Alligator mississippiensis: one gene and its partner. The protein of the gene in region 1 interacts with the protein of each later gene in a pairwise test. Links are inferred from orthologs where the notes say so. Each region holds a gene or a part of one and is shown on either strand. Other genes may lie near its edges.

The links.
Region 2: the proteins of B-cadherin (region 1) and CBLL1 interact in a two-hybrid assay, tested with the Homo sapiens proteins (2 studies listed by BioGRID, with this or other methods). The link is inferred for Alligator mississippiensis from reciprocal best matches to the Homo sapiens genes CDH1 and CBLL1.

Annotation. Positions count from the first base shown.
Region 1 is NC_081833.1:76,122,467-76,138,487, forward strand, and holds the start of B-cadherin, read left to right. Parts: upstream 1-7,518; 5' UTR 7,519-7,579; coding exon 7,580-7,624; intron 7,625-7,721; coding exon 7,722-7,833; intron 7,834-16,021. Other genes in the region: B-cadherin, read left to right, coding at 1-145, 655-861.
Region 2 is NC_081827.1:28,117,534-28,133,322, reverse strand, and holds CBLL1 (E3 ubiquitin-protein ligase Hakai), read right to left. Parts: upstream 8,039-15,789; 5' UTR 7,052-8,038; coding exon 7,030-7,051; intron 6,716-7,029; coding exon 6,548-6,715; intron 6,153-6,547; coding exon 6,052-6,152; intron 5,750-6,051; coding exon 5,666-5,749; intron 4,697-5,665; coding exon 4,623-4,696; intron 4,032-4,622; coding exon 2,990-4,031; 3' UTR 2,353-2,989; downstream 1-2,352. Other genes in the region: SLC26A4 (pendrin), read right to left, coding at 15,323-15,346. UniProt on the Homo sapiens protein: E3 ubiquitin-protein ligase that mediates ubiquitination of several tyrosine-phosphorylated Src substrates, including CDH1, CTTN and DOK1. Targets CDH1 for endocytosis and degradation.

The DNA of each region.
Region 1 (16,021 bases):
CTACGACCTCAGCCAGCTGCACCGGGGCCTGGATGCCCGCCCCGAGGTCATCCTCCGCAATGACGTGGTGCCCACCCTCGTGCCAACCCCGCAGTACCGGCCGCGCCCCGCCAACCCCAACGAGATCGGCAACTTCATCGATGAGGTGAGGAGCGTGGGTGGGGGTACGTGCCTGCTGGCCTGAGCCCAAGACATGGTGTTGGGGTCAGTTGTGTCCTTGCAGGGCCTGGTCCATGCCTGGGTTGAGGGCTTGCCCTCCACTCCAGGGTCTTCTCGTGGCTTTTGGAGGCAAAGGGTTGAGTCTTCTGGGTGCTTCCATCCTAGCTGAGGACGTGGCTCAGTGCTGTGTAGTCAGGTCCCCATGCTCGGCTGCCTTGGGGGGGCAGGTCCTGGTGCCACGAGGAGGGTGCTGTGCAGGGCTCGGTGCAGAAGCACTACTCTGGCTCCAAGGCCATGTCCTCCTGCCCCAAAGCTCTTGGTCTCATGAGGGTGGGGGGCTCCAGTCTCTGCCAGCTGAGCTCTACAGCCCCCACTCAAGCTGGGTGTCGGGATGTCTCTGGACACCAAGCTTGAGCCACTTCCAAAGCCCGCACGGGCCAGGCTGCACTAGGGCAGGGAGGGAGATGCTCACCTGCTGCCTCCTCCCGGCCCCAGAACCTGAAGGCGGCCGACACGGACCCCACGGCGCCGCCCTACGACTCCCTGCTCGTGTTTGACTACGAGGGCAGCGGCTCCGAGGCCGCCTCGCTTAGCTCCCTTGACTCCACCAGCTCTGACCGCGACCAGGACTACGACTACCTGCACGACTGGGGCAGCCGCTTCAAGAAGCTGGCCGACATGTATGGGGGCGGCGAGGACTAAGGGCCCCACGTGTGCCTTGCACGGAGCAACGTGTGTGGAAGCTGGATGCCAGCCCCACGCAGCCGGGTCCCCGTGCAGGAGACCCCGCGGGGGGGCTGTCGTCCCAGACCTTTGCAGGGCTGAACCCACTGCTTCTCCGACCTGTAGCTCTCTGCCTTAAGCTGCTGGTGCCTTCTGGACGTGCAGACGCACGGACCCATCCCCTGTGGAGCTAGGAGCCCGTATCCCCCCATGGCCAGCGGCTCTTGGCTTCTCAGCCTGGGCCAGCTGGCCCCCCGTGCCCGCGGCTGGGGCTGTGCTCAAATTGGCCTTGCACATGCCGCTGCCGCCTCAATCCAACCATTCCCTGCAGCATCAGATAGCTGCTGCCTCCTTTTTTGTACCTCCCCATGGCTATCGCTTCTCTCCCCTCCCTTTGTACGATTATCCCCAGCGCGATGTGGGCGCTGCTTGGCCAGGACGGTCCTACCATGTTAGTTTTATTAAAAGTACTTCTTTTTTTTTTTAAGTGCCCTGAGTTCCTGCTTCTTTACACCAGTCCCATCCTGGGGCAGGGGGGAGTGGAGCCTGCTGCATGGTAGGGTAGGACATGCCGGGAGGGGGCTGGCACTGGCGCTAGCCCTAGTCTCTACCTGCTCCTGCAGGACTGTCTGTGAGGCCTCCCCTACCGAGGGGTCTTGCTGCACTGCCTTGTACTATTTCTTGTGCTCTGACCTCTCCAGCCCCTGGTGCAGGGGTGCAACAAGCACTGCCAGCTGCCTTGCTTAGACTGGAGCTGCTGAGTTGCAACCAGCTGCTGGGGGTCCTGAGAGCCGGGCTGGGGTGGAAGTGCTGGGGTGTCTGAGATGTGGGGGCAAGCACCGTGGAACCCAGCCCTGCCACAGTGGTGGCACAATGCCTGGGGCCAGTGCCTTGAGGCAGCTGGGAGCCTGCAGAAGGCAGGCCGGGCCGTGCCCTCTCTTCTCCTGGGCTCAGATCTCGCTTGGCCCCTGGAACCTGTTCTTTACTTGGGCTGTCCCATCGCCGAGGTCATCTGCCCCAGTGCTTAACAAGCACGTGGCTATGAGGCTTTCCTTGCAGTCGTTTAAACCGATTTACTGCTCATCTGCTTCCAGAACAGGCTTACCTGGCTGTCACCACAATTTATTGTATTTCTCTCTTCTCCCTTGTCTCGACTGAACTACTCAAGTTCTCTTGCTCTTTCCTCATGCGTTGGGTTTTCAAGGCTTCCACCCTCTCTCCCTACCTCTTCCTCCAGGACACGGTGCCCAAACCAGGATGCGACGCTCCAGGGGTGGTCTCGCTGCAGCCCTATAAAAGATTCCTTGTTACATCTCGCCCTCACTAGCCTCCAGCCCCCCTCGGAAACTACCCCCTCTGAGCTTTCACTGTTAACTACAGGGCAATAATTAGGGCAGGTCTTGTGCAGCAAAGAGCTAGAGCCGCAGCAAGGCCCAGCATCTTGTCTTCCAGTCTGGATCTGCTATAACCCTCTTTTCTACCGCCGGGGGTGAGATGAGGCCTAAGCCCAGCCAGGTGCAGTGGAAGGAGATGCAGCACAATGTGACCCTGGTAGCACCCTCCAAGGGCAGGGGCTGCCTGCTCTGCCCCCTGCTCCCCGGGCAGCAGTGCTGGGCTGGGCATGGGAGTTGCAGGTACCCTCGTGGTATGGGGGTGGGGTGTACAGCAACATAGGTAAGCTGAACACCCTCCCTGGTGCCCCTGGGGCATGGCTGGTGCTGCAAGGGCTTGGAGCAGGGGGCCAGGCTGGCCAGGTCAAGCCACCTGCAGAGCTCTTATCTCTGCAGAGAGCTCAGCTGCTGCCTCGCTCTGGGTGCTGCTGCCACCCCCCAGCCTGGGCTCTCGCCTGTGGCCTTGCTAACGAGCATTGTGGGGGAAGTGGAGTTGATATAATGACAGCAACTCCCCTGTGCTGTGGGGGCTGCGCAGCCACAGCTGGCCCAGGCTGCTCCGGCTTTGCTGGGAACAGCTGGAGCTGTGGGGGCAGAGAGAGCCCTTCTGCTGGGACTCCCTCTTTGGAGCCCGGGACCTGGTGCTTGGGTCCTTGCAGGAAGTCTATGGGGGCTGTGGACTTCCTTGGGAGCAGTACCCAGAGTTGCTGCCTTAATGGACTGGGGGATGGGTTTGTTGTGCATGGGACAGGGGTGGCCTGTTGCGATTCCCCCAGTGATAGCAAAAGGCACCTTTCCCATTGCAGCAGGAAGAAATGGCCCTGCCTGGGGCATGGAGAGCTAGGAGAGGAAGCCAGGAGCCTGGATGAGCACTGGCTGCAGAGCTTCCAGCTGGGCACCTCCCTGGGGGGATGGCTGCTGCCTGCCTGCACGGGCTGAGGCTGGGACTTGGGATTCCCCAGCCTGGGAGCAGAGGCCTCACCTGGCCTCTTTCACCTGCCTGGAGTAATGCATCCTGGCAGGGGCCCAGGGGGAGGGGGTACTTCCCTGCTCAGAAAGCAGCTTGTAACCTGAGGCTGGGTGTGGGGGGGAGCAGGGACTGCTCCATCCCCCCAGCCTCTGCAGCAGCCTGGTGACTGGTCCGACTGGTTTTTCCGGCGCGGGTGCTGCAGCCCTTCAGGGCCCTCTTCCCCAGCCATCTCCTGCCCCTGTGTTGCCCAGCTTCCCCCAGAGCAGCCCCCCGGCTGGGTGTCCCAGGAGGCACCCTCCACCACCCCCACGTCCTGCGGCTCAGCTCTGCACCCCGAAGTGATCCAGGGCGTGGGAGGGCCCGGCTCCCTTCTCTGCCCAGCAGGGGGCAGCATGGCACAGGGTTGGGACCGGTCCCTGGGGCGGGCACTGGGAGCAGGGAATGCATCCCTGCCCTGTAGCCCAGGCACCTGGCCTACCACCTGGGACTGGCATGACCCTGCCCGCCTCCCAGTTGAGCCTGTGGGATCCTGGCAGCCCTGGGGAGCTGCTGTGGGTGCTTCTGAAACCATCCCGGGCTGCAGAGCAGACTGGGTGCGCTCGCCCCCTCGGCTGCTGGGCTTCCTGGCCTGGCATGCCCTGCTTGCTGCCCCTGCTTTTGGTACGCGGGTTGCTGGGACAGGGATGATAGTAACTGGTGCAGCTCAGGTGGCTGCTCACCTGTGCCACCTGCTCGCTGCTGGCATCGGTCGGAGCTGTCTGGCTATGCTCCCACGTGCAGGTGCCAGCGATGTGCCATGGAGCCCCAGCCCACCCCAAGGGGCCTTCTGGGGACAGCAGCTGCAGCTGGAGACAGGCTGGAGGGGCAGGAGGCAGTGCAAAGGATGGCTCCTGACAATAGCGGTGAGCAATAAGGCAGAGGTCTTATTTCTCCTCAGTTGCCTCCGCAGCACCTTCCCATGCAACCTGGGTGCTGGGGGCCAGCCCAACACCCGCCAGTGACGACCCATGGAAGAGGGGGAGTGGAGCAACAGCGGTCTCAGTGGCTTGGGGTAGGTGTATTTGGAGCTAGGACCACAGGTCCGTGAGCCATGTTTCCAGTGGGAGGGTAGGGGGTACGAAAACAAACCCTACTATGCATGCAGGGCCCTGGATGCAAAGGAGGCAGGCATGGGCAGCCCCTGCGGCAGGAGGGATCTGCCCCACTTGGCTACTGCCCCCTTTCTTCTTACCCCCCCATCTGGTCCTGGGAGGGTGACCCCGACCCCTAGCTCCAGGCCTCTCCATGCCGAAGGACGTGACTAGGAGAAAGGGGTGGGGCAGGAGCCTGGGCACCTCCTCGCTCCTGCCCGGAGCTGTTGGCAGTGTTTGGAGCAAGGCTCTGGCCATGCAAAGCAGCTCGCACCTCCCCTCCGGCACCCCGGGCACGGCACTGAGCACAAGTGGGTTGGCTGTTGGCTTTGTTTGCTGTGCCCATTCATCACCCTCTCCATCCTTTGCTGCTGCCCATTCTCCCCACGTTGCACTTCTGAAGGATACCACCCCCTCGGGCTCCTGGCACGGGTAGGGTCCAGCTCTCCTGTGCCTGGGCCCTGTTCCTAGTCTCAGGGCAAGGACTATGGCTGCTCGAATAGGACATGCCCATGGCCCAGCTGGCCTCCCCATGCTCCACGATGAACCTTGCTCTCCTCCTGCTGAGGTCAGAACAGGGAGCAGGCGCCCTCCAGGCACATGCTTAGTCCTAGGGGTAGCCTATGCCCCCTGGTCCCTCTGTCCCCTGGCGCAGGGCCATGCTAGAGATTGTGGTCATCAGGTGAGCACTGAGCTGGGCAGGACTGCACCCAGGAGAGCACCTGCTTGCTGGGATGGAAGGAAAGGCCTGGAGTTGCCTGTCCCTGCGGAGCCAGCAGTGAATAATTCAATGTTTAAGGCACGACTTGGCCAGTGCATGCCCGTGGGAGCCCTGGCACCACGTTTGCTCTCCATCACCTGCCAGCAAGCAGCAGGAGCCGGGCAAGTGGAAGGGGAAGCTGGACTCAAGGGCAGCGTCCCCTTTCACCAGCCTGGTGGTCACCAGCCCGCTGCCGGGTGTTGTGGGGATGACTGGGCCAGGGTGCTGCACAGACGCATGACCTTTGCCCCACGGGGCTTCCAGGACCAGAGGCTGTTGAGAGGGAAGTGGTAAGGAGGGACTGAAAGGAGCAGGAGCCCCTTCCCGGGGCCCAGCGAGAGGCTGGTCTGATGGTGCAGTGCCCAGGCAGGGAGGCTGGAGCTGACATCGGAGGCTGCGTGAACTGGGGACAGTGACGGGTGGTCTAGGGAGGGCCTGGAAAGCGCATGGTGGATGGCTGAGAGCGCAGCGCAGGAAGGAGCAGGGCAGGTAGGTGCCCTGGCCATAGCTGCAGGCCAGAGGTTGATTGCTGCTGACCCACAGGCTGGAGAAGACGGGGTGGGGGAAAGGATACGGTACAATGTGACCCCAGGCAGGAGGATGGGAGCGGACGATGCCTGGGCTCCTGGGAGGCATGACAGACCAGGAAGGAGGCAGAGTGAGGAGGAAGTCGTGGTGGCGACTGCGGGCGCGCAAGCTGTGGTTGGTCCATCAGCTGTTGCCAGCAAGGTGCACTTCCTTCTCCTGCACGGGGGCCAGCTCTGCTGTATCCCCCGCAGCCCGTCTCATCTGCAGCACGTGGTGCCTGCATGCCCAGGCCCAGCCGCCTGCCTGCTCCCTATGTGCCCCTGCCTCGGGCTGCCCTTGAGTCCAGCTACAGCATCCGGCTGGCCACACCAGCAGGGACAGGAAGCAGAGCTGAGCCACTGCAGCACTTGCAGTTTCGGTGTTTGTTCAGCAAGAACTTTGCCCTTAAGACCTGGGCACAGCAGGCCCCGCTCCAGGCTTCCTGCCTTATGCAATCCATGCAGCTCTGTGGGGGCCCAGCTGGAGGGAAGCTGCAGGGGTGAAGCAAAAGCCCTGGTCCCTTCTGCATGGGGGGACTAGCAGCCCACCCCTGCGCTGGGCCAGTTGGCTCTAGCACGCTTGCAGTTGCAGCAAACAGCTCATGCCCGAGCTCTGCTGCCCACGCAGCCCCACCCGGCATGTCCCGTCACCAGGCTGAGCTTACTGGGGCAGAGGTGGCCCCACGCCTCACCTGTCAGCCCTGTTTGTCACCTTCGTCCTGCCCAGCATCCGCTCCCAGCCGCCCGCCCTCAGACAGGGTGTGGGAAGACACCTTCCCCTTCTCCTTTCACTTCTCTGGCTCCTGCCCCTGCCCTGGGGCCAGCTCGAAGGCCTGGTGGCTCCTGAGGTTGGGGCCCGGGGCCTGCAGCTGCTGGTGGTTGCTGGCTGCTTTCTAAGCTGAGGTCCCTGGTCCCACTTCCCAGTCACGGGTGTCCCTAGCGCACGGGGTCGAGCATCGGCACTTTGTTGGGGTCTTCCCCAGGGGGGCTGCAAAGCCAATGCACCCAAACAGCACCCCGGGACATGACACCCTTGACCCCGAAACCTGCCTGGTGCTACAGCCCTGCTGATGGGGGGGCAGCCGGATCCCCTGTGCCTGGCACCCCGGGGCAGCCTCCTAAGACCATGAGAGTGGTCACGTATGGGGCAGGGCATAGGTCTGTCACGTCTGGTCTCAGAGAGTCCGCCGCCACCTATAAGTTTATCAGGGGTGACCGCCAGGACCTGGGGGAACGTTTGTTCACCACAGCGCCCCAAGGGATGACGAGGTTGAACGGTCACAAACTCCGTCGCAGCGGATTCAGGCTGGACACAAGGACGAATCTCTTCACTGTCCGAGCCCCCGAGGTCTGGAACAGCCTGCCACCGGCGTGGTTCCAGCACCCACTTTGAACACCTTCAAGAAAAAATTGGATGCTTATCTTGCTGGGATCCTGTGACCGCAGCTGACTTCTGCCTTCAGGCAGGGGCTGGACTCGATGGTGGTCCCAGGTCCCTTCCAGCCCTAGTGTCTATGAAATCTATGGGGAGGAGACGGGGGTCACCCCGGGCAGGATCAAACCCCGTGTCCCAGCTCTACACCCTGCCCCGCCTCTCCAGGAGGGTGCCGGTCCGCGGGTGCGGAGGGAGGGGCAGCCCCCCAGGCCGGACCAGCGCGATGCGGGGGAGGAGGAGGAGGAATCCCGCCCTGCCCCGCACACGCATCGGGCAGGGGCAGGACCGGGGGAGGCGGAAACCCCCGCCCGCAGCCCCGAGGACCTCCCCCGGGCCCGGCCCATCCCGGCCCGTCCCGTCCCGTCCCGTCCCGACCCACCTGCGGGGCGGAGCCGGGGCCGCTCACCTGCCCGCGCCGCGCCCGCCCGGCCCGCACTCCGCGTCCATGGGGCCGCCCGGCGCCGCGCTCTGCCTCCTGCTGCTGCTGCAGGTGAGACCCCGGCCCCGACCCCACCCCGACCCCCGACCCCATCCCCATCCCCATCCCCATCCCCACCCACACCCGGCTCACGCTGTCTCCCCGCCAGGCCGGCCCGGGGCTGTGCGAGGAGACGCGCTGCCAGCCCGGCTTCAGCGCCCAGACCTTCACCTTCGCCGTGCGCCGGCACAGCCTGGAGAGGGGCAGAGTCCTGGGCTCAGGTGAGCGCTGCGCCGCGGGTCGCCCAGGGGACCCGACACCCCTAGTGCCCCTGTGCCCCCCTGCCCAGTGCCCCAAGACCCTTAATCCCTCCGTGCTCCGTGCCGAGACCCCTAGTCCCCTGCGTCCCATGCTCCAGGACCCCCCAGGGTCCCTGTGCCCAGTGCCCCTCCCCATCAGGATCCCGTGCCGTCCTGGTGCAGCGTCCCGGGGGGGCGGCAGGTGCTGAAAGGCCCCGAGAGAGGGGCGGGCTGGCCGCTGGCAGGGAAAGGCAAAGAGCAGCACAAAGCCCCTTCCCACCTGCCCTTTCCCGGCGCTGGGAGGGAGGGAGGGAGGGAGGGAGGGAGGGAGCAGGCTTGTTCTAACTCGCATTGGGCGGGCGCGGGGCTCCGGTTGACTGTTGAACTCTGACAACCCGGCTTTGATGGATCGCACCAGGCACGGCTGGTGCCACCTCCCCGCCCGCGGCTCGCCCTGCGCTGGGGCGGTGCAAACAGGAAGCTGGAGGGCAGCACGCTGCGGCCAAGGGCTGCGCTCGGGAGTGCCTGGGCAGTCGGTTCTGGCGGGCGAGGAGCAAATGCAAGCAGTGGGCTGAGCTGGTCCAGGGGTGCTTTTGTCTGGGGCAGGGTGGGGGCAGCTCTCTCCCCTGGCACTGCACAAATGCCTGGCACTGTTTCAATGGTGGTGTTCACAGCAAGTGCAGGGCCTCTCTGTTCTCTGCCGGGCGCCCCTGGCTGCCAAAGCCCCCTGCCCAGGGCTGACCTGACAGGCTGTTGTAAATCTGGGGTGTCCCCAACCCCAAGCTCCTAGGGGCATGGGTCCCCAGCTGCTTGGGGGGCGCTGTGTTGGTCTGCTGGTCCCCACCCTAGGGTCATGGTTTTGGGGATTCCCTGAGAGGGCTGACACCAGGACAGCAGGAGCTGCCAGCCCACGGGGTCTGGCAATGTGGAGGAGTCGCTGCAGGGCATGCAAGGGCATGGAAGCTGTGCCACAGGAGCTGTCTGTGTGTGTGCGCTCCTGCCCCAGAGCAGAGCAGGGTCCCCCGCACCTGCCGTGGGGCGAGAGCACATGCACGGGCCATTCCCCGAGGTAGTCGCAGCATGATGTCCAGGCTGCAAGAAGGCTGAAGCTGTTCCCACCCTGGGTTGGCACATGAGCTGGGCTTCCCTTTGCCAACCAGGGGCTTTTTCCTGGCTGGCAGGGAGCAATGGGGTCTGTCTGGGGAGAGCTGGTTGGAGGCAGCCGACTAGACGGGTCTTGTGCATCCTCTCAGTGATGGCAGAGCACTGTCCCCAGGGCCCGCAGGAGCAGCAGGGGTGGCTGGAGAAGTGCGTGGTCTGTGCTGGCCTCCAAAGACCTGCCTGCTGGCACCTGAGCCCCAGAGCCAGAGGGGTGCTGATGCAGCTCGTAATTTGGGCTGTACCTACTGCGCTGCCTGGCGTGGCTCGTTGTCCATGACTTTGTTAGCGGCTGTTGCCGGCTGGTGGGATGTGGGTGCTATGTCCAGACAAGCCAGCCTGCTGCGCTTGCTGCAGTTACACCAACCTGCTGCATGCAGCCTGCCCCAGCCCCTTGCAGGGGCACATCCCTCCCCGGTTCGCATGCCAGCGGTTGTGGGAGCTGGTCTGAGGCCTGAGTTAGCAGTGACGCTTCCTCTTTCCCTTGGCATTTGTGCTGTAGCTGGGGGAGGGAGCCGGCGTGGGGGCGGCTGGTGCTGGGATTGCAAAGCATGGCGTGTGTGGGGGTCCTGGGCTGCGCTGGGGCTTTCGAGAGGTTGCGATGGAAGTGCTGTTTGCTCCTGGTTAATGGGTGACGAGGCTGGTGGCGACAACACAGCTGCTGCGAGGCAGCTCTGGCTCCGTCCTGTCTGAGGGGGAACATGCTAGAGCCCAGAGGCAGCCAGTAGAGGAGTCGCAGAGAGACGCATGGGGAAACCCGTGGCACCCGTGCCTTCCTGGCAGCTCGTGGTGCAGAGCAGTGTCTCCAAATCAGCTGGGACACTTGGTTCTGGTTCTTGCCTGATCACGAGTTGCCCGGGGGTCCTGCCTTACGCTACCACGACCGGTGATTTCCCCGCTGGCCTGAGCCACCCTTCTGTGCAACTGCCCCGGTTCCTTGAGTGGGAATTCCCCAGGTTCCCAGCCCCGCTGCTTTCTGTTTCAAAAGTTTGGCAGGGGCGGGTGCGGGGGCCGAGAGCAGAGACATGGCCCTAGGTCTCCTCCCTGCTCTCTGCCCGCACTCGAGACCCTGGAGCCGGCTTGACCCTCTGGAGAGGCTCAGCCCAGGAGCAGGTGGCAGGAGAGTCCCTGTGCAAAGCACTCCCATCCCTGGGACCAGGAGCCTGTTGGCTGCAGACCGGAGTAGCCCAGCAGGTGCTGGTGCCCCCAAGGGCACGGGGCAGTGTAGACAGTGTCCACCTGGGGCTGCAACCGGAGGCAGCTCAGTGCTGGTGAGACGTAGCTTGGAGAGAGCCCTTGTAGCCCTGTCCCGGGAGCTGCACACAGGTTACCTGTAAGGCCTCAGCTGCCCACAACCAGCGGAAGAGCTGGTCCCCGGGCGCAGGAGGCTGGAGACTGCCTCGCCGGGCAAGCAGGGCGGCCGTGCCAGGGTGCTGGCAGGGCACAAGGCTTCTGGTGTGATAATCCACAGTGACAGGGAGGCAGAACTGGCCTGTAATTAGGGGATTAGCGCCCAGGCAGGCCCCTCCCATGGACCTGTCTGGATTTTTTTAAATCAAATTTTGTTTCTGGGCCAAATTAGTTCTGAATTTTGACTGAGCAGAGCTCAAGTCCATGTGGCGATATCTCCGGCAAGTCTCCTCTCTTCCAGACTCTTCTTCAGTCTGGGGCTTCAGAAGTTCCCACATCCATGGCAGGCATCCTACGTGCAAGCCCAGAGGCTTGGAGGTTGAGGTGCCCCTGGTCTTGCTTGCCCTGAGCTGAACGGCTGAAGGAGCTAGGGGCAAAGCTTGAGACCAGTCCCCCGTCACCATCAATGGCCCCCATCGGAGGCATTATAGACTCGCGGGGTCAGCCTGCCTGCAGTGCGCCGGACAGGCCTTGACCCCCTAACTGCACTTGGGTCCATTCGCGGCTGAGAGGATGGTGTCTCCCAGACAGGTCTGGATAGGCCTGTGCGTGGGGGCAGGAGGAAAACCCAGGCACGAGGGGCTCTCTTGGACCCGCTGTGAACACTTAGTGCCTGAGCAGGGCTGCTCCTGGGCAGTGGCCAGGTGCTTTGGACTGTACCCAAAACCCTCCCTGCAGACCCGTCACTGAGGATTCCCCTCGGAGGGCTGGATGGAGCTGCCCGGGATGCATTAATTGTGTGGAGGAAAGCCTCCCGCTGGGTGATTCCCTGTGGGCATCAGCAGCTGCTTGCTTTCCTCGAGGCAGTCCCGGGAGCGCCCGCGCCTCCATCGCCAGCTTGCTGGGGGGAGCTGCCGTACGGGGAGGGGATGAGCTGGAAGCCAAGCATTCCCAACCACTGACTGCTCGTGGTGCCTTGGGCAAATCCCTGTGCACCCATGCTGGGACTTGTAGGTTGGGGGCAACAACTAGCACCAAGGGCGTTGGGAGTGAGCTGTAGGCAGGCTAGCCAGCGACAGGGCGACAGGCAAGGGGGTGAAGCCCTGTCTCCACCCGAGAGTGGCCTCAAGTGGAGGGGGAGGTAATCCTATGCACCCCGTTGGAAGAGGATTTGTAGCTCATCTGGTCCCTCCACGGTGGGTCCATTGTGCTGAGCCCCACAGCCCCACCCTGCACGGCCCCGGCCACTCCTGCAGCCTGGCAAGGCTTTGGCTGGCGTCCCAGAGCTGAGCGCCATGCCTGGCGCGTTCCCAGCCCGGCTGGGGGTGGCACAGCCGCTGTGTACACACGCAGGTGACTGGCGTCTGAGTCAGCTCTCAGGAGAAACTCGCCCAGCCAGTCTGGACCGGGGCGAAACTCCTCAGTGATGTCACCAGCCCTGCCCTGCGCATGTGGGAGTGGGCCCTGCTGGGGGGGCACGCCGGCCTGGCTGCCCCTGCACTCGGGTCCTGTGCTCCAGGCCTCTGCTCCCACCTGGGCTGGGGTGGCAAAGCCGGGCTGGAATAACCTGCCGCTGGCAGGAACCCGGGAAGGCAGGGGAGGAAGTGCTTTTTCCTGCTCTACCTGCCCCCGGGGCTGGGCTGGAGGCTGCTGCGTCTCCTGCCCAGCCAGGAGCTGGAGTGACCACGCTGAGTCCTGATCCCTGGGCACCAATGTCCGAGCGGAGCTCTGCATCCGCACCCTGTCCTTAGCGCTGACACCCCCCGTGCCACACGATGGCTTCGGTCCAGACCTTGACCTGGGGTGGGGGTAGGAGGTCAGAGTCTTAAAGCGCTGGCGATCCTTTTCAGACTCTGGCTGGCTGGGATGGCGATTGGGTCTGGCATGGGGGCAGGGACATGCTCACAGCATCCCAGGGCTGGGGTCTCAGCACCTTCCCCTGCAGCTCATACTGCAGCTGGAGTCGACAAGGGGGGTCCTGCAGGGAAACTGAGGCAGCCCCACATGCGAGCTGTCGGCATCCAGCAGTCAGGAAGACCAGTGTCTTCCTTCACCCCTGCCCCGGTCGGTGCAAGTGAGGCCGTGGGGTTGGCTCTGCTGGCCAGGATGCAGGGGGCTGGCTCGGAGCATGGCACCGGCTGCGGAGAAAATGTGCCCCAGGAGGTGCCGGAGCCTCCGTGCTTCAAAGGCCGTCACTGTGAACGCACCCGGCACCAGGCGTATTGCAGCCATCGCCCGTTGGGAGGCTGAGCCATCAGCTCTCAGGTCCCATCACTTATGCATGGCCCAAGAGCCTTGCGCCCATGGCAGAGAGACGCTATGGGTCTAGCTGCCTGGGGAAGGTGTCCGTGCAGCCACTTAGTTCCCTGGATCACTGAGGCCCTGGCAGCTGGGTGCAGGAGCTGGGTGGGGTGGGGTCACTTGGGGCCTTGCCCAATGTGTTTCAGTTTTAAATTCCACCCGCTGCGGGGAACCCGATCCCGTCTCTGCCTCCTGCCAGGCAGCCGGCTCCCCCAGGCAACAGGAAAGTTCTGGCTCCTCCTTGGAGCCCTTGGGAAATGTGAAAGGTCTCCAGGTACTTTCCAAAAGAGCTGGGTCTGGGGCAGTGCAGGGGGACGCAGTGAAACCTCGGCACCCCTGAGAAGCTGCTGAGCTGGGAGCTGCTGCCACGAGAGCCCGGGGCTTTGGGGATGAACGTGCAGCTCCCCCGGGCTGCAGCCAGGCAGGGACCCCAGAGGGGCACGCTCTTGGCTGGGATGCCAGAAAGCAGGGGGTGGAAGGAGACTTGGCTGGAAGGAAGGACAGGGCAGAAAGTGAAAGCTTTCATGGCGGGGGGATTATACAAAGGACTCCTGCATATTCCTAGCAGGACAGGTGCGTGCAGCGAGGCGAGGTGTGATGCATCCCTGTGCTGCTCCACAAGCTGAGCTCTGCTGTCTGCCCACGCCCTGCCCCTGGCACAGACACCACCCTGGAGAGGCACTGCCCTGGACGGTGGCACCCGGCTTGGTCTCCTGTTACACCGAGAGGCTGTTGGTCGTGTTAGTCTGATACTGAACTTGGGCTCAAGAAAGCTCGTGCTTTATATCCATACCTGATGTTGCTGGTCTATAAAGGGGCACCTCTGCCCTGCCTTCAGTCTGGGGGCCCAGAAAGGTGCAAACCACCCTTGCCTCCTGCTGCATAGCCAAGGCCCTTCCCTCCCGGGGCGCAGCCTGCCTCCCTGCCCCGGCTGAGATCAAGCATGACTGGGGGCATCCAAAATCCCGGAGGCCTGGGACTTGCATGAAGGCTGCCTGCCTGGATCTGGGGAGCCCCTGAAGCCCCAGGTCTGTAGTCCTGGCAGGGTGCTGGCCCGGTTGAGTCCTACAACCCATGGATTTTTGTAGGCTCAGTTTTTGAGCTTTGCTCAGTTGCATTTGGTACTAATTGGGACTTGGATTAAAGAAGAAAAAAAAGATCTCCCTGCCTCAGGCAGGGGCATAGGGCTGCCCGGCTCTCCCCAGGACAGGCTGCTGGACGCGGTTGGGCCCCCCCTTGCAGGAGGCTTCATTGCTGCTGAGGGAGGCACAGGCCGAGAGGGTGCGAGAGCCCCTCTCATCATACCCATTTATAAATCCATAGTGCCTTCACACCTTGAATACTGCGCCCAGTTCTGGTGCCCGCACCTCAGCAAGGACATAGAAGGACTCGAGAAGGTCCGGAGATGGGCAACCGGATGAGGGGTACGGAGGGGTTTCCATGCAAGCTGAGACTGGAGGGGACAAGCCGGGTCAGCTTAGCAAAGGAGATATGAGAAGGGTTTACAAAATACTAACTGGTGAAGAGAAAGTCCATGGGGATTTCTTATTGACTTTCACAAGGCAAGAACCAGGGGTCACAAACTGAAATAAGTAGGCAGTCGGTTCAAAACGAACACCAGGAAGTTCCTTTTCACCCACGGGTCACTAACGCGTGGAGGTTACAGCCGCTGGATGTGGTGGACACTGAGAGCTCGGCCAGATCCACCAAGGGAGTGGACATGCTTGGAGCAAAGGGGCTGAGCAGGGAGTGAGGGGCACGGCCCTTGAGTCGCAGTCTCCAGGTCGAGGAAGGTCCAAGGGAGAGGGACCGTGGAAAACCCGTGGTCAGACCCAGGTTGCTCTCCCTTCCAGCTTTCGTTTTCTGCCTGTGTGATGGGAAACTGAGCACAATGGACGGGGGTCTTTCCCAGTCGATAGCAGTCCTGGAAGCCAATGCTTCCAAGGCCCTGCACGGCTCCGAGTACCCCAAGTTAGCAGGGGACAGACCGCTGCTGACTGGGCCTGGTGGCCACAGGACCCTAGGTTTGCTCCCTCCCGGCTGTGAGACTCTGGTCTCCCCCTGCCCAGCCCCGGACCGGGGGAGGGATTGTAGCAGCCTGCGGGGGCTGGAGGTCTGGGGACCGGGCAGCGTTTGTTCGGTGCTTGCTGCAACCTGCTTCCCGGAGCTGACTCGGGAAGCCCTGAGCCACGCGGTGCCACGTCAGCACGCACCTGCCTCTGCCGCTGGGGCAAACGGCTGGGGTTTCACCGCCGTGGAAAGAGGGGCCGTGGCTGCACGCAGTGCAGAAGTGGCTCTCGCCTGTGGAGCGGCTCCAGGCTGGCACCGCGGTGGCACTGGGGTTCTCGCTGCCCCCTCTGCCGGGCCACGGAGAGGCCTTGAGCAATGCACAGAGCATGGGGAAGGCGCGGCTGGGATAGGGGGTGGATGGGTTGCAGCTGCCCAGAGCTTCCCACCCTCTGCAAGCAGCTCCTAACTGGGAGGAGTGGGTGAGCACCACGGAGCTCAAGTGAGAGCTGCGTCACCACGTGGCCGTGACGAAACGAGGGCTCTGAACCGTGGCAGGTACCAGGGGTGTCAGCTGCTCTCCCGCCCGGGCACCCCTGCACCCATGGGTCCCCACACGTCGCCTCTAACAGCGCCAGGTGAGCCCTGCCGCCCCTTCCTAGCTGCGATCCGGGGGAGCGGCTGTGACACACACGACGTCTCCAGAAAGGAGGCAGACGGACTGGAAAACCCAGTGCTCCCTTGCGGTCTCTGGTTTGCAGGCTCCTGGGATTGCATGAGCCTGGCAGCCGTTCCCTGCTGCCTGCCTCCTGGGAAATGCTCAGCGCCGCCTTGCCGCAGGGCTCGTGGTGACGGCACTACTCGGGCGGCAGCGCAGCCCCGGGCTAGCGGGCACGGATGTGAGTGGCCGGGGTGGAGGACACTGTGAAGCAGGGGGCAGCCGGTCTAGGGCGAGCTGCCTGGTCGTCCGTGCTGGTGCTGGGGGTGGCTCTGGGGAAGGGGACAAGGGGTTCCCGCCAGGAGAGAGGCACAGGGTGCAAGCCCCAGGGGCTTGGCTTCTGCAGGGAGCTGGGAGGGAGCCCCCGAAAGCCAGACGGAGCCAGCTGGGCACCCGGGAAAGTGCCCCCAGCCCCCAGCGGTCTGTGGGAGGTGGCGACAAGCAGCTCTGCTGGGCTTGTGCGGAGTGGTGAAGCTGAACGGCCGTGCCTGCACCCAGCCTGCGCTCGGTGAGGCCCCGGGCTCCCGCTCCACCAACAGAACCGGTTTGCAGCCAGGCAGGAGCATTCGTGCAGCATCGCCAAACTGGTTTTCAAACCGGTGCAGGGCCGGCATATGTAGACGTGCCTGAGCGTGT
Region 2 (15,789 bases), on another chromosome or scaffold:
TTGGTAACTGGCATTTCTGAGTTTAGTATCGTTTCTTTCTGAAAAGTAGCTGGCTAACATGCTGCTAACATTGAGCTCCCACCGGCGCCAATTTTTCAAACAGTAAATCAATGTCTTCATAGGGTAGATATAAAAGTGATGGCCTCAACTCTGTTATTCTATGCTGTGCTCAGCATTCACAGCACTTAAATAGGCAAGAATAGATTCAAGCCAAGCACTTAACACAACTGGCCCACTTCCTGCATGCCTTTTGGGTCTGTTCTGTGGTTGCATGACACCATATTTAGTAAGTGGCCATCTCAAGCAAAGATTTTGATCCCATTTTGGTAAGTCAAAATCCTCATTGATTTTAGTGAGAACTGGATCAAACCCTAAGCTCTGAAATGCCAATTATCCTTGACTTTGTAAAGGAAAAAAAAAAATCGTATTTTATCTAAGGGCTTATCTTGGATATAGTAATATTACGGGCTTATTCTGTGAATTGCTAGGTTGAGTGAAAGAGCTATGCTAATCAACTGAACAGCATTACCATGGTAAGAGAAATCAACAGGAGGACATTACTAGTGATTTAGCGAGAAACAAGCCAGTGTTGTATTAAACCATATTCTTATGGATCATGGGGCAAAAACCTTTCATTGACTTCAGTCATCACCAAAATAAAGAAATGCAATCCAACCTGCTGCTAAGACTAAGTGTATTATGGAGTAAACTAACAACATTTTTTTAGTGTCAGCTAAAGAACACTAGGTCTTGGAAGCTTATTCCATTTGGAGTTTGCCAAACTTTCAGTAGAGGACACATTGCCATCACACCTCAAAGTTTGTTAAAAGGAATCAAGTTCAAAGTAAAATTGGCCCCTACATTGAGTTCAAGTCTTTTCTACATAAGCTTAAATCACTGGGTAGGTGGTATTACAAAAAGCAGCTCTTAGAACAACCAGAGTCCAGTTTAAAAAGAAAGGGGGAGATTGTGGAGTAAAAGCTACAGCAGTCAAATAAAATGGCTTAAAATATTAGGAAGACAAACATTCACTTAAGACAATGATGAGCTGTTAGATGGAGTGCTGTGCACATCAACAAAATGTACCTAAATGAGGTGTGACTGACTGAGTTATGAACAATATGTTCTCCACTATAAAAAGGTACTTCAAAAGTACCCATAATATTTATTATGAGTCTGTAGAACAAAAATAAGTTACTGGGGCCTTCCATTGCTTCACAATACAATGGTAAAATTTCAACAAAGCCTATACTGTAATACCTTGCACATATATAAGGCTTTACATCCCAGTCTTAAAAGCTTGAAAAACTGGGCATTATTCCTATTTTCCATATAGAAAAACTGAGGCAAAACCTGATTTTTTAAAGCATATTACAACAGCACCCTCAGCTGGTCAATTGACAGAAAATAACCATTTTTGCACATAAGCATTTGTTTTTCAGACCCATTTGTCGAGTTTTCATGCACCTAAATTTGAAAACCAGGCCCTGAGATTTGCCTGAGGTTACCAAACAAATCAGTGGCAGAAGCAGCATAGATGCCTGACAGAGTCCCTTGCTCTGACCACTAGAAAACATATTTTATCTGCAAAGTTATAAAGTTTGGAATGTTCTGCCAACAGGGCACTCTGATAACCTGGTTGCTAACAGCTTGTATTGGGTAACAGATGAAAGAATGTTGAGAAACAAATTATGGTTTTCCACAAGAAAACCGTAAGCTGGATCCCAACAATATTTTAAGGGATACCATAAGGTTAGAGGGATACCATAAGGTTAGAAACCTAATTCAAAACTAAATTTTTTATTTATTTTTTACAGATGAATGTGGCTGATTACTGAGAGTAAATGAAACTTTAAAACTTATTTTTCATTACTAATGTTGGAATGCAAAAATGAACACCCTACTAGGACAATTAAAACAGAATAGATGGTTTCCCTGTGTAGCTCTGTTTAAACAATACTACCAGTAAATGCACTACAGGAATGTGAATTTCTTACACTTGTTTTTGATGGACTTAAGTTTTATATATAGTAGGTAAATGTCCATTATATGAAAGAAGGTGATTTTTGGGACATGACATAGCAACTCACTCAATGACACCATCTATATGAACACATATAGGTGGGCAAACATATAACACGAGTTCAACACAGCGAGAAGCACATGAGCTCTCAAGCGACACCTAACTTTCTGGACAAAAAGAGAGTTAAAAAAAGATTTTAAAATGTTAAATTAATATAGCTTTGCATCATGCCAGAGCTGCATCTTTTGAATTATTCATTTGTAATCCTGAAATTTTCTCAACTTAAAGTCTTCTGTTTGAAGTGCAACATACTGAAAGATTATAGCGTCTTAAACATGGAATAATCAGTTTAATGTAAACAATGTTATTTTGAAAGGATTTGTGAATGTCCGTCACACTAACATGACTTTTGGGAAAAGCGTTTGTGAAACATGAAAACATGAAACGGTGTTTCAGAAATAGTATATACTCTCAAGTTCACATAAAAAACCCAGCACTTTTACAACCATATTTAAATTTAATTATTGTACACAGGTTAACAAAAAGTTATCACAAGTAAAACTAAACATTGGATTTAACAAAAGTGATACTTAGAGTGGTACAATGGATGCTCAATTTTTCAGGAAATAATATTACAAGCAATCATCTCTGGGGCATGTCTAGCCCCACTAGGGACATAAGTTCTGTTAAAACATAGCTGTAGTCTATTAAGCCACTTATTTTAGAACTACAGTGTATTTGAAGTCCTATGGTCAAGGCTTAAAAATCCTTTAAGATTCAAGTGCCCAGAGTGTCTTACTGTCACAACAATGGTATTATTAATAAAAAAAAGAGAGAGAGAGACAGAGAGAGACAGAGAGAAGGAAAGAGAGAGAGAGAAAGCAAGAGGTCCAAACAGTCAGATTCATTAAAAGGCTGCTGTATAGTTTTTTCTCATAGCATACTCAGTTCACTTTACTGCTCATATCATTGGTAATAGGGTCTGTATCTGGCTTGATCTGGGTGGTGTGGTCCAGGAAGAGGGGCTTGAGAAGGTGGACCTTGCATTCTTGGAGGTGGAGGTGGCCCTCTTGGAGCTGGCCAGATCCCTGGACTCATTCCCCCTGGCTGTGTAAAAGGAGGGCTAAGAGTTCCTTGATCTTCACTGAACTGTGGTAAAGAGTTAGGATTATAGTGATGGGGAGGGGGTGCATTGACATTTACAGGTGGGCCACCATGCTGGGGAGGGGGAGGTCCTGGAGGAGGATGATTCATATATGGTGGCATCTGGGCAATGATGTGTCCAGGGGGAGGGGTTATTGGTGGAGGAGCAGAGGTCATCGGCGGTGGAGGAGCTTGGCTATAAACCATGTGAGGAGTACCTGCTGCCTGGGGAGGATGCTGCATTGGATGGCTAATTGGTGGTGGTGGCGGCGGGGGTGGTGCATAATGTTGCTGTGGAGGCATTATATGATGAGGGTGGGACACCACTGGTTGACCCTGGTATTCAGGATGATGATGAGCAGGTGCTGGGGCTGGTGGAGGTGGTTCTCGGGCACCTGAATTTGAATCATCCTGAATAGGGACAGTTATTAAATTGCTGTGTTTTCTTGTTGAGATACGGAAGGTATCCTGACTGACCGAGCGAGGAGGTGGTGGAGCCATTGACATCTCTGCCGGGGGCGCACGAATGTCCTCGTGTGGCTGGTTATAGTGCTCATGTGGCACATGCTGTAAAGGTGGTGGTGGCATCATGATGTGCTGCTTTGGCGGAATATGGCTCAAATGATGCTTATCAGGTGGCATTATGAAACGCTCAGGAATTTCAGCAGGAGGTGGGGCAATAGGAGGATGAACAGGTTCAAGTGGAGGACGGGTAACAGGTTTTCCAGCTCTCATGTGACGGTGGTTGATGTGAGCTTGTAAGTCTCTCTGAGATAAATATGTTCTCTTGCACCCTTGAACAATGCTACACATGAAGAGAGACCCTCGCACGCACTGCTCAATTCGCTGCACAGGCTCGTTACAGCTATATTGGAAAAAAAATCAGTTCATTGTCAAAGGCAGCTCAGAATCTAGACGTATTTACGCTAAAAGCCAATGCTTTTACTTCCATACCAATAGAAAAGGCTTGCATTTCCTAAATTAACTCAAATATTTCAAAACCAGTTTCCCCTAGAAGCAATTACAAAGTAGACTGGCATTTTCTGAAGTGTTGTTTATAATTGGCATCCCATGCAGGTTTATTACTCAACACAGAGCAGAGAACCATCCTGAGCTCAGAGTACATAATTGGCAGGTGACCCTTAACTGTTAGTGAATTGTCACTTCTTTGCAAATTACCAAGGGAGGGAAGAACCTAAACATATGAACTATTTCAAATCTCTACTACTTACATATCTGCAGTGAAGCTGAATCCCTCATCGTTTAGTTAAAACTGCTATGTTAAACTAACCTATCAGGTTCAGTAAGCACTATTCTTTACTACTTCTCTTACTGAGTCACGTGTTTTTTTCACTGTGTCAAAACTATGTACATTAAAAAAGATTCTGTGAAATAAGGATCCTTTTCCACACTTCTACGTTATCCCTTTTTAATAAACAAATTCCAGCTCACTTACCCTGGGCACATCTTGTCTCCCTTCTTCTCATGTAATATAGCACAATCATAGCAGAAAACATGCTTGCAAGGGATCTAGAGACATACAAATAATTGTTCTATTAAAACAAGATGTAAACAAGTAAGCCACCTGTAGAATATATTTTTTTTTAAAAGTTCTCATATTTTCCCTCAAGAACATGACTTCTTACTGAATATCTTGTAGAAAATAGATCTTTCTTCCATTAAACTGCCTATGAAACAGATAGATACAGCTCAGGAAAAGACATATGATACCGCTGATCAGATGGTTTCAAGCACTTAAAGATGAATGCAACTGAAAACAACATGTGACACATTTAGGCGAATCTGTAAATAAACAAATGTGCCACAAGCTTCTTCTATGGTAATATTAGCATCTATCCAATTATAGGCAATATTCTAAATTCATCCTAAGCATTAGGTTTGATTGCTATTTTAAGAGAAACAAAACCGATTACTATATAGAATTTACTAACTCAGCTGAAGTCTCCCATTAATATACAGTACTCTACCTGAAAAGGGTCACTTTAATGTTAAATATATATTATAGCCCTCTTACACATTCTTTCACATTAAAAAGTATTTTTCAACTAATTACAATGGGAACAAATCAAACATTGCATCTGCCATCCTTTCACCATATCTGCCATTTTGTTCCTTGATTCAACAAGGTAACAGCACAAAATATGTGGAACATGAATAGTTTGGCATTCTTGTACAAATTAAGTGGCTGAGTCTGAACTGAGATGCACAGAGATACCTCGTACTGGTTCTGCACAGCTCCCCTAAAATCAATTGGCCCTATAGTGGTACGTCTACTTGCTTCTGCTCTGAGATGCAGACCTTCTTTCACAATAATCTGACTTGAAATCAATGACTCCTATGTTTTCTTACAAATATTAAGTAGCCATCATAAATGATGTTACACAGCCACTAGCTACCTACAATTTTGCCAGTAAGCCACTGAGAACTACTTCTAAAACTGCTTCAAATTTTACCTTTTCCACAAGTAGCTCTACTCACCATGCGCCCATACATTTTAATAGGCAATCCACATTTGTCACAAAAATGGACTGGGGTATCATCCTTTTCTCCCAGCAAGTTAATCTGTAAGGAACAGCAATATTATGATGGCTTATTTTCAATATTACCAATATGCTTGCAAGCTCTTAAATATTTCTTAAGAAACATGGACCTGTGCACAATCTGAGAAAAAGGACAAAATACCTTTACAGCAATGCTAAGAGTAAGAGAAGTGCTTATTTTTCATTTGGTTTCTGAAAGGGTAAGCAGGATGCATCTCATTTCATTTCTACACTTTAAAGATGAACTTGCTCCCCATGTATTTAAAAGTTTAGAGAGCAATTTAATTTATATTATCATCCAAACCACTGCATCCAAGATTGTACCTTGAAGTCCCAAAAGATGGGTCCAGGGAATCTTCGTTGATTCCCAAACATTTCACCTCCTTTGCATTCGTATCGTTCCTCTTCATTATAATCAAATTCTTCTGGGGAAAAATGAGACCATACTTCAACACAAACTATTACCTTTCTAAATGACTCAGACTGATTTTAGTATAGAATGATGAGCATTTTAAACAACAATCAGAAATACTATGGCATTTCAGTGTCAGCTGGGCCTAAATCTAATTTTATGCTTAGATACTTTCTGCAAAAAGAGGAACAGAAACAGAATAAAAAGAGTACTCCTTGTTCTTTGGAGGCAGGGGCCATTTACTGCTTATAACACAATATGTGGATGTCTCAGTCACATGTTCTTATGTGTTCGCACAGCACCTAACATATGAGGGCTCCGCTACTGAATGGGGCATCTGACCACTACTGCAAAACAAAAAATAAATGAATTCCCTCTCCTCTCACAGCACTAATTTATTTAGTTTACCATCATCACCAGCTTGTGTCTTTGACGGCATCCTGTTCATATTTCTTGGAGTTCGAGGTGCAGGTTTGATTTTGTTGGTTTGCTTGGAGATAAGCTTTATAGGGATTCGTCTGCGAACATCAAGACCACCCAATGATCCAGAACTATTAGTTCCTTGCAAATCATTGTCTATACAAGAAGAAAATATGTTTATTGTAATTTCCTGGTTATTTTGCATATTAGTTTCTAAAAAGTTAAGTAGCAATCTAGACAAATTAGAAGTATAACTCTGGTTTTATTAAAGCTAATTTAAGATTCATTTATTGTACCAGACACTACTCATTAGAAGGAAAAAAAATCAATCTATTCTGGAATAAATCAATCCATCAGCTCTTCAAGGCAAGGCCTTTTTTGTGCGTCTGTGTAGTGCCTAATGGTAATATTGGCTCACTATACTATAAAACCTCTACAAAACCATAATATTTTAAATTATGTTCTCTTACCATGCTGGGTCATTGTAATCATCACAGTGGACAAGTTGTATAAAAAAAGTTTCCAAACTCTTATCTTGATATGAAGAAGCCCTAACACCTCTCACCTAGTTTTTCCATTTCATCTACAAGCCCAGACCATAGTTTAAATTATAAGGTAAAAACAAACTCTTTTTAAAGAGGCCCCTACAACCCAATACCCTTTTTCCTGCAGCTATGTAATACATTTTGGGTTCATCATCATTTGAACTGGCCAGAAGAGGCTGGAACTGTTGCTTTTATTTCATTTAACAGTGACCCCTTCTGGCCCATTTCACATATAAGTGACAAACCATCAGATTAAAAGATCATACAAGTTGTATTATTAATAATACAGTAGTGCTTAGACAGCTTAGCTAAGATTAGGGACAAGTCCATTGTAAGCCTCATGCTTACAAACTGAACAAATTACATAAGGGTTAGAAGGAAACAGGTGTGTAAAGGCAAAGTGATGGCTGAAGATCATTTAGCAGTTCAGGTGCAAAGCCAGGAACAGAACAACTGTATGTACTCAAATAGAAGATGACCCTAATGATAAGATGACCCCCATAATTACATTCTATATATGGAAAATATAAAAATGTGTTATCATTTTCCAGATATAGAATCAAATTATTGGAGGCTTGCCTCGAATTTGTCCCCCTCTCACTGCTACAGCATGTAAACCAAATTTGTGGGACCAGGTAGCCCTTTGCTCTCTGCTTCCCCCACCATTTTTTCTCTAGCAGACCCTTCCCTTTCTCCTTACTGTCAGACCCTGCTCTCCCTGCACACATGGAAGTGAGGAACAAATCTGAAAACAATAACCTTGAAAATAAACATGGGTATATCAATTTGCATATAGTACCCATGCATTGTCCAGTAATCTATCCAGAATTGATGCTGCAGGGATGGTGCCCAGTTGGCACCTGCCAGGTTATTTTGAGCTGTGTGCAGGGTTCTGACCAGCCAGTGCAGGGTCATTCCAAGCTGCTGCCTGCCAACGAGTGCCAATTTGCTTCGGCACCCTCTGACGGGAAACTGCACATGCATCTCAAAGTGACCTAAAGGCGCCAGCCAGGCACTGTCCACACAGCATGGGATTTCTGGCCAGCACATGCTGAGTTGCTCTGCGCTGCTGCTCAAGCAGCAAGTGCTGGGACAACCCAGCTCACAGAAAGGGACCTGGCGCTAGGCTGCCAGCATGTGCCAGGTTGCTCCAGCACCCACTACTTGAGCAGCATCTCAGAGCAACTCAGTATGCGCTGGCCAGAAACCCTGCACTGTGGGCACAGGGCATGGCCTGCACCTGCTGCATTATTTTGAGCTGTGTGTGTGGTTTCCAGCCAGAGGGTGCCAAAGCAATGCGGCACATGCTGGCAGGCAGCTTGGAGTGACTGCACTGGCCAGCCAGAAACCCTGTATGCTGAGGGGTGCCCAGGTGCCCTCTGATGACTGACCACATACTAGGTGTCTGGCCATGTGGCCTCCTCACTAACATTGACATCCCCAGTGCATTTTCTGATTTCAGATAAGTCGTATGCAATCATAAGACAAGGCTTAATTTTTCCCATATTGAATGGGGGGGAACCTTGTCTTATAATCGAGAAAATATGGTAAATTTCTCTGACTCTCAAACCAGTGTCGTCTCAGACTCAGCACTTGCCCGTTTTGCCGGGTGGTCAAGTGTACCCATTTCACACAGTGCTCTGAATGCCACCATTACAACGTGAGTGTACTTCTTACCTTCTATTAAAAATTGTTTCTAGTTTTATTGGAATTTTTGAGGAGGGGGAGGGAATAGGTTTTCCACTAATTAAACCAGTTCCTCAGTCAAAGTGTATTTTAACTCATGGATCTCTCTTTTAGGGACCAGAGGACTGGAGCATCACAGAGCCAATACTTGTAAGGTTAAGGGTGTTCTTGACTTTAGGAAACCATGCCTCTTGTTACAAAAACTGTGTTGCTGCTCATTAACATCTGTTAGCAGTCAGCAGCACAGCAATTCCAGTGAAGTCGACAGGGAGAACAATTTTGAGGCAGTACATGAAGGGCCAAAAAACTAAAATTCTCAGCAGAACAGTTGTGCCTGCACATGCAGAGCAAAAAAAGTCATAAAGCAAACACCTTTCAGTTCCTCCAGTCCACACCACTGCCAGTGCAGACACCTAAACGAAGGCTATGTTCTATTCTAAAACCTTCACGGGAACTGAAGGTAATTAGGGGGCTGCTTTGGTACTGACAGTGAACGAAGTATGAATGAAGGATCTACTAGCATGGGTAAGATGGCTAAGCCAAGAGGAAAAAATATATCTGAAGCATTTAACAGGCTCTCTTGGCATACAACACAATACAAAACAATGGACTTGCACTGTAAGCTTTCTGAAAGCTCTTCTGGTACAGAAAGTATTTTAGATATAAAAAGTACATTCTCTTCTGTACTTTTTGGGCACAAGATCTTTGGAGAAAACTTTTCTGAACAAGGTAGCTCCTCAGGCTATTTATATACCAGTTCACTCCATGTACACTAACTGTACAAACTAGCACTACAGGTGAAAAAAGGTAGGCTGAATATTAGGAAACTTCCTGTTAAGAGTATCATTAGGAAATGATGCAGTGAAATCTTGTAGTCTGTATACATCTTATTTCGTTAGTCTATAAAGGTACACATCTACCTCGCCTTCTGAATGACTTCAGATTAACAAAGCTAACTACCTCTATTAGGAAATGAAACATTTGCAGGTGTAGAGTAAAAACTAGCCCAGAAGAGACTATCAGAGCTGTTCCTAAAAGTGGGATAGATGAACAAAGAGCTTTTTAAAAATCAACTAAACTCTACTGGCCTGTTCATCTGGTTTAGGTCTACAGACTCGAGAAGCCAATGGAGTTACAGCAGGAAATAATGCGACTCAAGGAAGTTTCTAACTTCCTATCATCCTTCTAACCCAGCTAATAACCTACAAGGGTCCACCGAAAAATGAGAATGCTCTTACATGACTTCACTAGTTTTTTTAATTTAAGTTTTTGGTTATGACCTGACACATTTTAAAGGGGCACCAGTCAGCATGCACTAATAGCACACACTTAATCCCGCACTGTGAGTTTGGATTCAGCCCCTTCCCCACACCTGTCCCTGGGCACCCTGACCTCTGGGATCTGTGGCCTTTCCACTCCAGGCCATTCCCCAGGCTCAAGCTCTCTTTGCACAGGAGTGACTACAAACGCAGCCAGGTCAGGTCTGGAGGCCGGCAACAAAGTTAAGAACAGGTTCGTATTTCTGGGCTGAAACCCAGGCTCAAGCCCCTGCACAGCAAGCTGCAAGCGGAGCAAGAGAGCCTCTAGACAATGCTCAGGACAGGACTTTTTCCAGGGATCGCGGCTCACTACGCCATAGGAGTGGGGTCAGATGCAAGAGTCTGGCACCGCAGCTGCCTAAAGGCCAAGCAGCTGGGTAAGGGGTTTCAAGCCCACCGCCCTGGGGTCAGCACCGAGACCCTCCAGGGACCCGCTGAACGCCGAGGCTGAACGGGTGCGGCCCAGCGCGGGCACCTCGATCCGGCCCCTTAGGGCGGGCCCGAGCGCGGCCGCTGTCACAAGGGACCGCAACGAGCGAGGTCGACGGCAGCAACCCCCGGCCCCCGGGGCTAAAGCACGGGCCGCCGGCGGCCACACCCGGAGCCCTCCCCGTCCCGGGGCGTCAGCGAGGGGAAGGAAGCGGGGGCGGGGCCGGCGCCAGTTCGGGCTTGGGGAGGCCGCGGCCCTCGGCTCCGCTCGGCGCGGGCTCAGCCCGTGGGGCCCAGGCCTCAGAGCGCGGCCCGGCCGCCGCCCCCGGAGCCCCGCCGCAGCCAGCGGCAGCGCCCGCGAGCGCCGAGGCGGCCGGGCCGGGCCAGACCCACACAGGCCTCTCTCCCTCCCTCGCCCCTCCTCACCATTGTGGTCCATGATTCGGCGCGGGGCACTGTGGGAGCGGAAGTGCCCCGCGCCAGAAGGGAGGAGCCGGAAACGACTGAAGGGAGAAACCGGAAACTCGCTGAACAAGGGGGTGGGACGTGCCCGCGGGACAGCTGGGGGGGGGCCGTGGCGCGCGATGCGGCGGAGTGGTCACCATGGCAACCAGAACACTGCGCACCCGAGCGGGCAGGGCGGAACGGCACGCCGCGCGGCATGCTGGGAAACGTGCTTTGCCCTGGCGCCGGAGCGGGCCTGGTGCATGCCGGGAGCGGCAGGTCCCCGCAAGCCTCGCCTTGGCCCCGGTGCATGCCGGGAGCTGTAGTTCCTCCCCCCATGTTGAGGTGGTCGTAGGCGGCGCCTGGCTCCGCAGCCGGTCCTCTGCACAAGTAGCGTGTGTCTGACAGCGCCCGTGGTTGCTGCGGAGAGCTCCAGCCTGGCCGCGGCCTACCAGGCCGTCGGAGCCAGGCTAACGGGGGTGTAGCCGGGGGGCGTCCATGCCACCCCCTGCGTCCTTTGCCCTGAATTCATCCTACCGGGCAGGGGAAGGACCAGGAGGTGGTTTCCCGGGGAGGTCAGATCCCCTTGAATGGCGTCGCGTAGGGCAGGTGGAGACGGGCCCGATGCACTGCAGACAGGCCCCCTACCACGGTCTGCCCTAGCAGCGGTTCCCAACTTTGTTTGTCCCAGGACCCATTTGTAAGCATGGATGGCCAGTGCCCCTCGCTGCCGACCCGCGGCCCCTGTGTGCGGGGTGAGGGGAACTCTGCCAGCTTGCATGGGAAAAGCCACACTGTCATGTTTTTCACCTTTAAAGGAGAATCCATTTCTAAAGTGTGTTGAACCATTTCTGAAGTTTGTTCGTAACCTTTACATCTATTCTTGCGACCCCACCTTTTGGGTTGAGACCGACAGGTTGAGAAACGCTGCACTATTGCTTCTTTGGCCTGTTGGCAAGTAAGACTCAGAGGCATCCGAACCCCCAGACCTCTGGGTTTGGGGCCTGCGTTAGGAAGCCTGCCATGCATTTGGGAGTGTCTGAAACCCTAGGCTGAAGAGCCCTGGAGGGAAAATACTTGCCAGTGGTAATGCTATATGGGCCTGAATGACTCGGCCCTGCTCATCAGATGAAATTCAGAACTAATTTGACTGATTTGACCAGAGACACAAAATTTAAAAAGACAAAAAACAAAACCTGAATGAATCCCAGTTAAAATCCCGAATTTTAGCCGATTTTGGATTTTAAACTTCGTTACAGAACAACAAGGAAGTTTTTTTGCCTCCCTGCCTGCCATCTGACATCTCCAGGGAAGGGATTCTACCTGATCAACACATCAAAGAGCTACTTAACACAGCTCACAGACACTGTCATGGACCCAGAGGGACAGACTTCCATCTTCAGTTCCCCCTGTGCAAAAATGAAGTTTATTTCCTGCCTATGGGGACTTTTGACCATCTTGTACCATCTACACTTTTCCCAGAGACCAACGAAGGGACTTTAATCCCAAAAGCTTGCAGGAAAGGACAATTTTCTTGCCATTTTCCAGTTGGTCTAATAAAAGGTATCATTTTGGAACCAAGAGTCCTAGTTTTTGTATATCCCAGTTAAAATAGCACTTAAAAAAAAATAGGTCCAGTCCCCCCATGGCCAATCTTGCTGTGCGGAGAGGTGGGGGGGGTGTCCCCCTGCGGCTCATCTCACTGCTGGGACGGGCCACAGCAGCCAATCACTGCTGCACCTGCTTCCAGGAGTGGCTGCATCTGTTTCTGGGAGCAGCTGCAGCGATCAGCCAGTGCTTGCAGGGGGGGCACTGGCACTCCTGCCTGCCCCCCATTGCCTAAGCAGTGAGCGCAGCCAGTCAGGGGGTACACTGGTGCTCTCAGGGGGTTCACATGCATCCCCATGCACTCCCTACACGTCGCCAGTAATTGGGTCCTTGCTCAAATGGTTATGGCTATGGAAGCTCTGGCTACAAAGTGGTTTGCTGCATACAGTGTGGATAGGGCAGCAGGCCTGGAAATAGGGGTGGCTCTAAAAAGGATCAAAGTGTATAGGAACCGTTAAGTTCTGCTAGCACCTAAGTGCTGCAGGGATTAAGAACATAAGAACTGCTATTTACTGTGTCAGACCACAGGTCCATCTTGCCCAGAGTCATGCAGTGGCAATGTCCAGTTTCTGTCCGCTTTGTATTTCATGTCTTGTAATGTTTTAAATGTGCAACATCCTTACCCCAGGTAATTTCCTTCCTTTTAAAAATGTAACTATTCTCCTATCTAAATGTATTTATTAGTAGTAACAGTGGGGAACCATCATTTCTTACATAGCTGTTATTGCTTTAAAACTAGGGGTTAAAATTGCATAGCTTTTCTTGTAATCTTGAACACTGTGTAAATTACTATATTTATGCATTCTCACTAACTTACATTAGCATTGTCTCTTTGATATGTTCTATTACAAGAGAGAAAGGGTTAGTTTATATCCCACTAAACCAACATTAGATAATGGGTCTGATTCTGATAACTTTACTCAAGTTTCAGAAAAACCTACCATATTTTTTTGGCTTATAATACATATTTCCCCCCAAAATTCAGGTCCTGGAAATTGGGGGGGGAGGTGTTATGGTCAAGAAAATATGGTAACAGCAGTGCTTGCTACTTCAGCTTCTGCCAGGGGAAAGCACAAGTAAAGGGGCACTTAAGCACGCTGCTGCTGGCACCGGGCACTTTCCTTCCCCTCCCCACCTCTCCACACCCCTCCCCCCCCCAGGCTTTCAAGGAAGGATCTTTATTTCATTCTGCCTTTCAAAAATAAAATGGATTTTATTCAGGGGTGTGTTATACATGAGGAAGAGACAGCATTCCCAAAGTTCTACCTTCAAACAGACTAATTATGGACGAAGGCAATATCATAATGCAAATAGTATCAGACTAGCCCCTAAAAATCATAAGTTTGCAATATATTACCCGGTCAAAACATTTCTATATATGTTTGATATCAATTATGATCTTTAACAGTAGGGCCTGGTTACTAAAAATAAAATTAATGAACCAAGTTTCTCAAATAATAGTGTCTCCTGATGAGCCCAATTTTTATGTGGTTATCATTTTTGTAGTAGTACAATAAGTTTAATTTTGCATGAATAAATTTCATCTGTCCTCCATTTTGATTATGTAACAAAGTTTTTTTATAATAAAACTTTAAACACAGAAGCAAACCTAGGAGTATTTATAAAGAATCACCAAGATAGATACTTTTTTAAAGATGTTTTTGCTGAATGGGTGATAATGTTCTGCGCATCAACTGCATGGGATTGAAGATATTTTTGCAGGTCAGGGCCCAGAGTTCTTACTGCCTATTGCTGCTTTTGTTCGAGGAATATATTATAATCAATTATTTACGTTACAGTAGCATCTAAAGATGTCTCCAATTGTGCCAGGCACTGAACAAACCAATCCAACGAATTTGTAATCTTCTCAATGCTATGGACTATGTTACCACAGAATCATAGAAAATTAGGGTTAGAGGGGATCTTGGGAGGTCATCTAGGCCAAACCCCTGTTCAAAGCAGGACTGTCCCCAACTAAATCATCCCAGCCAAGGCTTTTCTAGCAGGGTCTCAAAAATCTCCAAGGATGGGAATTTCACAACCTCTCTGGGTAACCTGTTCCACTGCATTACTACCCTCCTAGTAAGAAAGTTTTTCCTAATACCTAAACCTAAACTTCACTTGCTGCAACTTGAGACCATTGCTCCTTGTTCTGCTACCATCAAGTGGCTATTTTTTCCTATAAGTATCAACATAGTATTGGGTCATTTACATCCACCAACCCTAAAACTAGTTGCAATTTCTGTCATGTTGGAACGATGTTGTAGCCATGATGGTCCAAGACATATGCAAAAGGCAAGAATTTTTGTTGGTGATATCTTCTATTGAACCAAATGCATTGTTGGGATAGACTTTTGAATGCAATGTATTCTTCAACTAGGCATTGTATTTGAAAGCTTATCTAAGTTTATCCCAACCATGCAGTTCATCCAGTAGAAGCCGTCACCCACGCAAAGCCTTGCCTCCTGAAGTTTCTAGAAGCTATGATGATCTGCCTCCAAATTTTAACAATGGTTGCTTCTGCGAATGAGTTCTGATCAAATGTTTTGAGTAGTTCAAGGGTATTCTGTCAACAGACAAAATGTAGACATTTCTAGAGATCTGTAGAATTCACAAAAGGAAATCAGTGTTTTCTTCAAATGCAAAGACTGGTCCCAGTTCAGATACTGGTTGTCTAATGTTGGTGCATACATAGTTTCACAAGTCCACAGCATGACAACATCCATTTTTCTTCATGATGCAAGCCTGCGCATTGCCTGTTTGCAGTAATGTTGAAACAGTGAGGGTGGAAGAAAGAGGAGAAAAGAGGTACATGATTAGTTCTGAGTACACAACATCTCTTACAACATTTTTGCACATGCACTGCTATATAAGCAGCTCAGTCCTGGATGACTGAATCTGCTAGGAAATATTCTTAAAAGGGCTGCAGTCTGAAGCAGTCTCTCTGGCTGATAGCTTTATCACAGATTTTGAGCAGGATTCTCTCCTAAACCCAGTAAAAACTGGCCATGAGAGGGCAGGAGTAGAAACCATCAAATATATTGCCAGTCTAGGATAAGACAGTTTCTTATTCAGTCCCTGAGGTAACCTTAACATCTTGGGAGGTAATTATGTTTCTTAGAACCAATTTGTGCTTGGAGGCAGACTGAACAGCATTTCTTAGTTGAAAGCAGCAAGCTTTTACAGAGCAGACGCAGGC